3 linked regions of the Sus scrofa genome follow. The protein of the gene in region 1 interacts with the protein of each later gene in a biochemical or structural test. Links are inferred from orthologs where the notes say so. Each region holds a gene or a part of one and is shown in the gene's direction. Other genes may lie near its edges.

What was found. The genes of interacting proteins can lie anywhere in the genome.
Region 2: the proteins of SHC1 (region 1) and FLT4 form a complex in vitro, tested with the Homo sapiens proteins (2 studies listed by BioGRID). The link is inferred for Sus scrofa from reciprocal best matches to the Homo sapiens genes SHC1 and FLT4.
Region 3: the proteins of SHC1 (region 1) and PTPN12 form a complex in vitro, tested with the Homo sapiens proteins (2 studies listed by BioGRID). The link is inferred for Sus scrofa from reciprocal best matches to the Homo sapiens genes SHC1 and PTPN12.

Annotation. Positions count from the first base shown.
Region 1 is NC_010446.5:94,825,830-94,829,062, forward strand, and holds part of SHC1 (SHC-transforming protein 1), read left to right. Parts: intron 1-163; coding exon 164-290; intron 291-1,835; coding exon 1,836-2,034; intron 2,035-2,123; coding exon 2,124-2,193; intron 2,194-2,272; coding exon 2,273-2,407; intron 2,408-2,860; coding exon 2,861-3,099; intron 3,100-3,233. UniProt on the Homo sapiens protein: Signaling adapter that couples activated growth factor receptors to signaling pathways. Participates in a signaling cascade initiated by activated KIT and KITLG/SCF.
Region 2 is NC_010444.4:78,110,493-78,114,009, forward strand, and holds part of FLT4 (vascular endothelial growth factor receptor 3), read left to right. Parts: intron 1-654; coding exon 655-740; intron 741-2,701; coding exon 2,702-2,897; 3' UTR 2,898-3,517. UniProt on the Homo sapiens protein: Tyrosine-protein kinase that acts as a cell-surface receptor for VEGFC and VEGFD, and plays an essential role in adult lymphangiogenesis and in the development of the vascular network and the cardiovascular system during embryonic development.
Region 3 is NC_010451.4:102,490,744-102,494,260, reverse strand, and holds part of PTPN12 (tyrosine-protein phosphatase non-receptor type 12), read left to right. Parts: exon of another isoform or gene 1-1,211; coding exon 1,212-2,194; intron 2,195-3,517. UniProt on the Homo sapiens protein: Dephosphorylates a range of proteins, and thereby regulates cellular signaling cascades. Dephosphorylates cellular tyrosine kinases, such as ERBB2 and PTK2B/PYK2, and thereby regulates signaling via ERBB2 and PTK2B/PYK2.

The DNA of each region.
Region 1 (3,233 bases):
GTGGTGGGGAGCGCTGGGTGGGGCCGGCTGTCAGAGAGACAGGTGAGCAGGACCCGGGAGCTCAGCAGGGGCTCCTGCTGCGGAGAATGAGGGCGAGGGCCCCGTCTGTGCGTGCCCCCCGCCTTCCCCCCGAGTTCCCTGACAGCCTCTGCTGTGCCCCCAGCCTGCCACATCCTGGAGTGTCCCGAAGGGCTTGCTCAGGACGTCATCAGCACCATTGGCCAGGCCTTTGAGTTGCGCTTCAAACAATACCTCAGGAACCCGCCCAAGCTGGTCACCCCTCATGACAGGTGAGCAGGCGAGCGGTGGGGGGGGGCAGCTCTCGGGCTGGGACCGGAATTGGAAAAGTAGGTCTGCTCTTCCCACGCTTGAGCTCAGAGAGGAGCAGGGAAGGAAATAACCTGTGAGCCCCTGCTTCCCACTTCCTGCTATTCTTACGTTTCCTGAGGCCATGGGGAAGGCCTTTCGAGGCCCTGCCTGCTGCCAGGCCAGCTCTTCCTCTCGGGTGCCCGTGCTGGAGCTGTAGTCCAGGGCCGCCCGCTCCAGCTCTTCCTGGCTGGATGGGCTTTCCTAGTCCCAGCCATCTCTTTCTGGCCTGTCCCTCTCTCTTGCCCATTTCTCCATATTTAGTGCCTTCTTGCCCCTAGAAGCCATCAAGAATTTGGGCGAGGGAGCATGGCTCTTTCCTGAGATCCTTACCTCTCCCACTTCAGACCAGCAGTGTTGAGAATTTAGGGGAGGTTAAAATATTCCAGAGGGAGATTCTGTTGTGGCTCAGCGGTAACAAACCCGACTAGTATCCATGAGGATTCAGGTTCAGTCCCTGGCCTCTGTCTCTGGGTTAAGGATCCGGCGTTGCCGTGAGCTGCGGGGTAGGTCATGGCTTGGATCTGGCATTGCTATGGCTGTGGTGTAGACCGGCAGCTCCAGGTGCAATTTGACCCCTAGCTTGGGAACCTCCATATGCTGTAGGTGGAGCACCCCAAATAGTGGTGCTGCTTCCCCTCCCTCTTGGGAGACAGCATAACGATCGAGGGCATGCCTCTAAAGTCAAATTTGAACTTATGTCTCTCAGATTCACCACTTTTTATTTTATTTTTTAATTTTTTAAATTATTTATTTATTTAGTCTTTTGAGGGCCACACCTGTGGCATATGGAGGTTCCCAGGCTAGGGGTAGCATCAGAGCTGTAGCTGCCGGCCTGCGCCACAACCACAGCAACACTGGATCCTTAGCCCGCTGATCGAGGGCAGGGATCAAACCTGCATCCTCATGGATACTAGTCGGGTTCGTTCCCACTGAGCCACGACAGGAACTCCTTCACCACTTTTTTTTTGTTTGTTTGTTTGTTTTAGGGCCACACCCATGGCAGATGGAGGTTCCCAGGCTAGGGGTCTCATTGGAGCTGTTGCTGCCAGCCTACGGCCACAGCCACAGCATCGCAGGATCCGAGCCTCGTCTGTGACCTATACCACAGCTCACGGCAACACCGGATCCTTAACCGACTAAGCGAGGCCAGGGGTCGAACCGGCAACCTCATGGTTCCTAGTCGGGTTCGTTTCCACTGCACCACGACAGGAACTCCCTTCACCAATTTTTAGTTGGGAGACCAGGGTAAATCTTTTCACCCCCGACCCTCCCTCATTTTCCTCATCTACAAAATCGGAGAAGGAAATGAAACCTACCTTCTAGGGTTGCCAGGAGGAGGACATGATTCCATATATAAAACACCCCACGTCAAGCCTGCCCCTCAGGGATTGCGCAGTCCATGGCCGCTGTTCTCTTCTCCCTCCGTCCTCCCTCCCACGTGCCTCTCTCCTTCCTGTCCCTCCCAGGATGGCTGGCTTCGATGGCTCAGCTTGGGATGAGGAGGAGGAAGAGCCGCCTGACCATCAGTACTATAATGACTTTCCGGGGAAGGAGCCCCCTCTTGGGGGGGTAGTGGACATGAGGCTTCGGGAAGGAGTGCCCCCAGGGGCTGCTCGACCCACTCCCCCCAGCGCCCAGACCCCCAGCCACCTGGGAGCCACACTGGTGAGTTGCTTGGGGGGGAAGTGGGCTGGGCCCAGGACGGGAGTGGCTGGTTAGGGCCTCTGGCCTCACCTGATTTTTTGTCCCTTCAGCCTGTGGGGCAGCCTCCTGGGGGCGACCCAGAAGCCCGCAAACAGATGCTGCCGCCTCCACCCTGCCCAGGTAGGAAGGGGGCTGAGAGGGGCAGAGCCGGGGTGTGCGAAGCAGGGCGGGGGTCGCTGTAAAGCCTCCCTTTCTTCAGCAGGCAGAGAGCTCTTTGATGATCCCTCTTATGTCAACGTCCAGAACCTAGACAAGGCCCGGCAAGCAGGGGCCGGGGCCGGGCCCCCCAATCCTACTATCAATGGCAGTGCACCCCGAGACCTCTTTGACATGAGTAAGTGCGCCTCTGTCTTTCCTGCACCTGCCTCTTCCCGCTGGGTTCCTCTTCTTCTTTTTTTTTTTTTTTTTTTTTTTTTTTTTGTCTTTTTGCCATTTCTTGGGCCACTCCTATGGCATATGGAGGTTCCCAGGCTAGGGGTGGAATCGGAGCTGTAGCTGCCAGCCTACGCCAGAGCTACAACACCAGATCCAAGCCGCGTCTGTAACGTATACCACAGCTGACGGCAATGCCAGATCCTTAACCCACTGAGCAAGGCCAGGGATCGAACCCGCAACCTCATGGTTCCTAGTCGGATTCGTTAACCACTGAGCCATGACGGGAATTCCTGGGTTCCTCTTCTTTTCCTGCTTATCTGCTCTTTCCTTCCTGGCTTCCCCTCCCTGAAGGTCTGGGCCCTGGGCATGTGTCGTGCCAGCCCCCCTCCTAGCCCTCTCTCTGCACCCCCAGAGCCCTTCGAAGATGCCCTTCGGGTGCCTCCACCTCCCCAGTCGGTGGCCATGGCCGAGCAGCTCCGAGGGGAGCCCTGGTTCCACGGGAAGCTGAGCCGGCGCGAGGCCGAGGCACTGCTGCAGCTCAACGGGGACTTCCTGGTGCGGGAAAGCACGACCACACCTGGCCAGTACGTGCTGACCGGCTTGCAGAGTGGGCAGCCCAAGCACCTGCTCCTGGTGGACCCTGAGGGTGTGGTGAGTGTGGCAGAGGCATGGGTGGCGTGGCAGGAAGGACGGTGCAGCACCCTCCCGGGCAGCCCTGTTCTTGCCCTCACTGCTTCCTAGACTTGGCCCGACGGGCACCTCTGTCTGGGCCTCTCAGGTGCCTG
Region 2 (3,517 bases), on another chromosome or scaffold:
AAGCACAGGCAGCCTCCCAGGCTCCCTAGATGGGGCTGGTCAGTGCTGCTGGCCTTAGGACTTCCTGACATCTGACTCCCGCCAGAGAGCCGGGCAGCCGGACCTGGAGCACCTGGCTGGCAGGGGCCACAGTGAGAGCCCTGGACCAGAGCTGTGTGGACCTGTCTCATGTCCCCAGGGCCTGATGGAGGCGTTGGGGAGTCGGGGGCAGCTCTGACAAGAGTGCCGTTCCCTTCCATGTAAATCAAAATGAAAACCATGCCATGCACACTAAGGGTGCCAGAGCCCCACTACATGAGTCTGAGGATCATTTTTCTATACTGTGAGCTGCCAGGTTCTTTTGATACTTTCCTTGTTTCTCCTGGTGCTCCTGCTCTGCCTGTGCCGTTTGCATGGCTGCCTTATATGTCCCCCTACAGGGGTGGGGGTGGGGGTCCTCCCAGTTTTGCTGCCCTCCTGAGTAGCAATACACAGCCCCTGCAAGCCTCAGTTTCTCCTTCCAAGGTGAGGGCGTGTGACCCTTACCTGCAGGCTCTGGTGAGCAAGTGGACACCCATTTCCCCCACACTTCCCACTGGATGAGTGTTAGGTCGGGTGCGATGAAGGTTTATGCCTCAGTGGATCCCACAGCCTTGGCTTATTCTCTCTGCACAGGATAACCAGACGGACAGTGGGATGGTGCTGGCCTCTGAGGAGTTTGAGCGGCTGGAGAACAGACACAGACAAGAAGGCAAGCTCAGGTAAGGCGTCTGGAGCCTCCTCCCCTGCCAGAGACCAGGGGAAGGAGGCCAGGCTGGCATGTACCTGTCGCTCTCTTACTTGACACTTACACAGTTCCGTGTTGCCTTTTTGTGCGTCCAAGGCCCTGAGACTTGAGGCCTTAGTCCACCAGCCTCCCCAGAGGACCTCCCTCCCCCATCACCGTCCTGACCCAGTGCACCTGGGGCTGGTTCCCAACCCTCTCTTCCATTTGACAGTTGCTCAGAAGACGTCTCTTTGTGAAACCAAGAATGATGCAGTATGCCAATGGCACCTACCACCCCTCTCCCAGCCAGGGGAGCCCAGCACCATCCCTGATCCCCAGCCCTTAGCCTGGTGGCCACAGGAGCCAGCAGATCACGTGACCCAGAGCTGACTTGCACCCTACTTTGATAGGAATGTGGTTCCAGAGAAATCCTCCTGTGCACCTGCACAGAGGGCGACCTGAATAGATAGTGAGCTCTATTTGCCCAAGAAGATAGCTTCCTCCTCTTAACAAAACAGACAAAACCCAAAAACCCAAAAAACCAAAAAAAAAAAAACCAAAAAAAAAAAACCAACCCCACAAGAACACAAAATCTGAATATTTCTGAATATTTAAACTTTGAAGGGTATATATAAAATAGTTAAAAGTCTACTCATTCATTTGATCAGTTGACTGGCTCATAGCTGTTTACATGACAGGACCTACACTATCATATAAAATGCTTTTCCACTTTCTTAAGACACGTGTTCAGATCATTCAGCTCCACCTTTGATACCTGTGCCTTTGACATAGTTTCTCCAGAGCAAATCTTGACTTCTGCATGGGTTGTTTGGGAATTGGTATGTGAAGATGTCACTGAATAGTGCGCCCTAGACCACAGGTGTGACTTGGTATCATGTTAGGATAGTTGATGTCATTTTTTACCTTTCGGGTGAGGGGATTGAAGACCTCTGCACCTTAAACCAACTATCTGTTATTTTCCCAGCAGGCTGTGAAGGGCATGTTTGCAGCACGTGAACACAGGTGGTTGTGGGGTCATATGCCTGGGGACAGTTACCACATACATATCATGCATCTTGGCCTCCAGTTGTGTTTTTATTGATTCTATTGGGTGATCTCTAATAGTAAACTAGTTTTGGAAAATGAATGCTAATTGCATTGGCAGAAATTGTTTCTGGCTAATGCTTCTTTCTGTTTGTTTGTTTGTTTTTGTCTTTTTAGGGCTGCACCCACGGCACATGGAGTTTCCCAGGCTAGGGGTCGAATCGTAACGCCCGGATCCTTAACCCACATAGCGAGGCCAGGGATTGAACCCACAACCACATGTTCCCTAGTTGGATTTATTTCCACTGTGCCACAAAGGGAACTCCAGGTTTTATTCTGAGAGTGACTGGAACCCATTGGAAAGTCAGCCAGGGGACTAAGGACATCGTCAAACTTGAAGGTTCTCTGAAGACTGGCCTACAGGGAGGCATGAGTGGGAGAAGGAAGATGAGCTAGAGCCGTGAGGAATGTGCAGTGATGGGCCTCTCACTCTAAGGCAGGGGCAAAGCATGGAGAGAAGTGCCGGGATGTATTGCAGAGTAGAAAGGACAGGACTCCTGGATGGGCTGGATATGAGGGATGCGGGAAAGGGAAGAAAGGATGACACCCAGGCACTTAAGCCATTGAACCATGTTGATGCGCTTCGTGCCAAGACTGGAAGAGAAGTAGGTTTAGTGGGATGAAGTTGGGCTTCTCCATTGTCCCACGCCCAGGCTTGGGACAGAGAAAGCTCTGGTGTTTGCCAATAGTCACATGGGTTTGTTTTTCTGTTTAAGTCAAGTCTGTATGTGTTCCCATTGGCTTTGCGCCCACTCGAGGCTCTGGTTGTGTCCTTCGTGATACGGATCAAACCCTGACCCAGCTCCAAGCTCTCTTCTTTTCTTACTGACACCACCTTCCTTGTCTTGGCAGCTGTAAAGGACCTGGCAGGAATGCGGATGTGACTGCAGTGCACCCTGACCCCCAAGGGCGGTGGCGGCGGCCAGACCGGGGAGCCCGGGGTCAGGTGTTCTACAACAGCGAGTACGGGGAGCTGGCAGGGCCACAAGAGGAGGGCGACAGCACCCCATCCACCCATGTGCCCTTCTTCACAGACAACAGCTACTAAATCAGCTCTGGGCAAGGCCCCCCTGGACCCTGGGCTCTTGACAGTCGGTGGGGGCCATGCCTGGCAAGGGAGCAGAGGGCCAGAGGCCCAGGCTGGGAACTCATCTTCTTTAGTTCGAGCCAGGAGGCATTTCCTCCTCCTTAGCTGGGAAGAGCAAAATCTAGGCACCAGGGCTGCCCTGCACTCCATCACCATGCCTGCCCAGGCCACCCTGCAGACCCCTGGGGCCCTTCTCCCCTTCAGATTCCGACTCCACTTAGCTCAAAGTCCACAGGGGCTGACCCTGAGCTGGTCACGCTCCTAGGCAGTCTCTTTGGATGCCTCCTCCCACCATGATGGGTGGTGTGATCCCTAATTTCTTATGAGAAATACAAGGGTCTGAGGGTCGTATGGTGATGGAGGTTGAACTGTGTCTCCCAGCCTCCACCCCAAATTCAGCCCCCTCCACGCAGCCCTCCCTTCCCTTGGGATCAGCTTTCTTCACTCGCTTCTCCAGGGCTGAAGAGAGGGCACTTGTATTTCCAGCTCAAAGTAATGAATGAGGAATTTGTGTGGGGCAAGAAGGGGAGGTCCTCTCCTGAACCTGGCCAGAGCCCAGAGCAGGCGTCTCTGCAGTGCCA
Region 3 (3,517 bases), on another chromosome or scaffold:
CCACGTTGCTCTGACTGTGGCTGTGGCCAGCTGGCCTTGTTCAGTGGGTTAAGGATCTGGAGTTGTTGTGAGCTGTGGTGTAGGTCACCAACACAGCTCAGATCCCATGTTGCTCTGGCTGTGGCTGTGGCCAGCAGCTATAGCTCCAATTCAAGCCCTAGCCTGGGAGCCTCCATTTGCCACTGGTGCAGCCCTAAAATAGTGATTAAAAAAAAAAAAAAATTAACCTATCCATAGTAACAGTATTGGGAAGATGGAGAAGACATTTATATAGTAAGAAGTTGCTACAGTATGTGTGAAATGGAAAGATCAAGTAACAATAATTTATGCATTTTGAAATATGGAGGTAAATCTTAGAAGCAGCTCTTTTTAAAAAGTTGAAATTTGATGTCTCAGGGTAACTGGAAGGCTGTGGGAGGGAATTGCTGTTTTTTTCAGTAAGAATCCTTGTATTATTTGACATTTTAAATTAGTGTAAACAATGAAATTACTACCTTTTTAAACATTAAATTTTCTTAGTTTGGCAAATTTTTTTTTTTTGTCTTTTCGTCTTTTTGCCTTTTCTTGGGCCGCTCCCGCAGCATATGGAGGTTCCCAGGCTAGGGGTCCAATCGGAGCTGTAGCTGCCAGCCTACCCCAGAGCCACAGCAATGTGGGATCTGAGCCACATCTGCAACCTACACCACAGCTCATGGCAACGCCGGATCATTAACCCACTGAACAAGGGCAGGGATCGAACCCGCAACCTCATGGTTCCTAGTCGGATTCGTTAACCACTGCGCCACGACGGGAACTCCCAGTTTGGCAAATTTTAATTTTTTATTCATAACCACAGACTTTACTGACTTGTAATATATAAGAGGCTCAGCTACATAACTGTTACTTATGAACTTATTTTTTTTTTAAGGATGTTTGTTTGTTTGTTTTTGCTCTTTAGGGCCACACCTGTGGCATATGGAGGTTCCCAGGCTAGGGGGCCAATCGGAGCTGTAGCTGCCAGCATATGCCATAACCACAGCAATGCAGGATCCAAGCTGCGTCTGCAACCTACACCACAGCTCACGGCAATGCCAGATCCTTAACCCACTGAGCGAGGCCAGGGATCGAACCCTCAACCTCATGGTTCCTATTTGGATTCATTTCCACTGAGCCACAACAGGAACTCCAAAGGATGAACATTCTCACAGTACCCTTTTCTTAATGTTTTTCAGTTGCCTTGTAGAAGGAGATGCTAAGGAGGAGATACTGCAGCCTCCGGAACCTCACCCAGTTCCACCAATCTTGACACCTTCTCCCCCTTCAGCTTTTCCAACAGTCACTACTGTGTGGCAGGACAATGACAGATATCATCCAAAGCCAGTGTTGCACATGGTTTCATCAGAACAACATTCAACAGACCTCAACAGAAACTATAATAAATCAACAGAACTTACAGCAAAAAACGAATCAGCTGTTGAACAGATAGATAAAAAATTGGAGCGCAATTTAAGTTTTGAGATTAAGAAGGTCCCTCTCCAAGAGGGACCAAAAAGCTTTGATGGGAACACACTCTTGAATAGGGGACATGCAATTAAAATTAAATCAGCTTCGGCTTCACCTTGTATTACCGATAAAATCTCTAAGTCACAGGAATTGAGTTCAAGGGATCTAAAAGTTGATGATATTTCCCAGAATTCTTGTGTGGACTGCAGTGCAACACAGTCGAATAAAGCTCCAGTTATTTTACCGGAAGAATTACAGAAGAATTCAGACACACCTCCAAGGCCAGACCGCTTGCCTCTTGATGAGAAAGGACGTGTAACATGGTCATTGCATGGACCTGAAAATACTCCACCTATGCCTGATTCATCTGAAGGCAAATCCTCAGATACCCACTGTCAAACAAAGAAAACTGTGAGTTTAACGCCAAGTCCTACAACACAAGTTGAAACCCGTGATCTCTCAGATCATCAAAACAGTTCCCCTCTATTCAGAGCACCCCTCAGTTTTACTAATCCTCTTCACTCTGATGACTCGGACTCAGATGAAAGGAACTCTGATGGTGCTGTGACCAAGAATAAAACCAGTGTTTCAACAGCAAGTGCCACAGTTTCTGCTGCCGCTAGTACTGAAAACATTTCTACAAGGAAAGTATTACCAATGTCCATTGCTAGACATGATATAGCAGGAACAATACATTCAGGTGCTGAAAAAGGTAATAATTAATAGTATCTAACACAAATATTTTTACTATGTGCCAGTCACTGTTCTAAGAAGTTATGTTTTATTTCATACCTTACTCTAGAACCTACAGCAGGATGTCATTATTTTCAATACTATTTTTTAAGTAAGTTTTGTTACCTTAGTTTGATCACATTACATTACTAGATCAATTTTGGTGTTTTCAAAATATTTCAATTATCATAACTGAAAATTCTCTCTTATAGCTCTTAGTATTTATATGGGTCAAAAATTTATATGACTGAATAATTAGAAATTATTTAGGGAAGACAGAATTACTTAAAGTGACTATGACACAGGAGTTCCCGTGGTGGCTCAGCGGTTAATGAATCCACCTAGGAACCGTGAAGTTGCAGGTTCGATCCCTGGCCTTGCTCAGAGGGTTAAGGATCTGGCGTTGCCATGAACTGTGGTATAGGCTGGTGGCTACAGCTCTGATTAGACCCCTAACCTGGGAACCTCCATATGCTGCAGGTGTGGCCCTAAAAAAGGCAAAAAGACAAAAAAAAAAAAGTGACTATGACACTAATACTGTAAAATGGCTTGATTGGCCATTTAATTTTACCCATGTATGTTATATTTTATATGATCTTCCAACTACAAAATAACTTTTAAAAATTCTCTTCACAAATGCTTACAAATAAGACTCCTTTCAACTCTGAATTTAACCAAGGAGCAACATGGCAACTACTCAGCAGAATATGGGAGGTTTAATTCAGTCAGTAGTAAGTGGGATATTTCCATATCTAATCAGCAGTGCTACTAATATTTAGTTAATCACTCTCTTCTTTAAGTAGTCTAAGCATTTCAAGATAATGCATGCCCCAAGTTCCCAAGATATATTATTGGTTCTTGAAACTCTTTAGTCTGCTAAAAATTATCATGGCCGCCATCTTAGACCATAAAGTTGAGCAAATACATAAACATGAAAGCTACTTACTGATTGATTATCATTGGTCTTTTACTTGTCAGTGAACGTTGGTTGTGACACATACAGACTGCTATTTATAATATGCATGCAAAATAAGTACTGTAAATTTGAAAGATCACTTTTTCCATTTCTGACCCAGTACCATCCATACTGTGGCCTCTTTAGTTTCTTCAGCTCACACGTACTTTATTTTTTTTATCTTAAGAACATATGTGATAGAGTAAATGAGAGTCTAACCTAGTTTCTTAAATTTACAGGATTCTCCTCTGTGCTCTTGATTCTACTGTTTTATTTGAAGGGTCTTCAGAAAATTCTTTACCAGTTTGGCATAATATGAAGTTATTTAATGTTGTTTTCTTCCTTGAC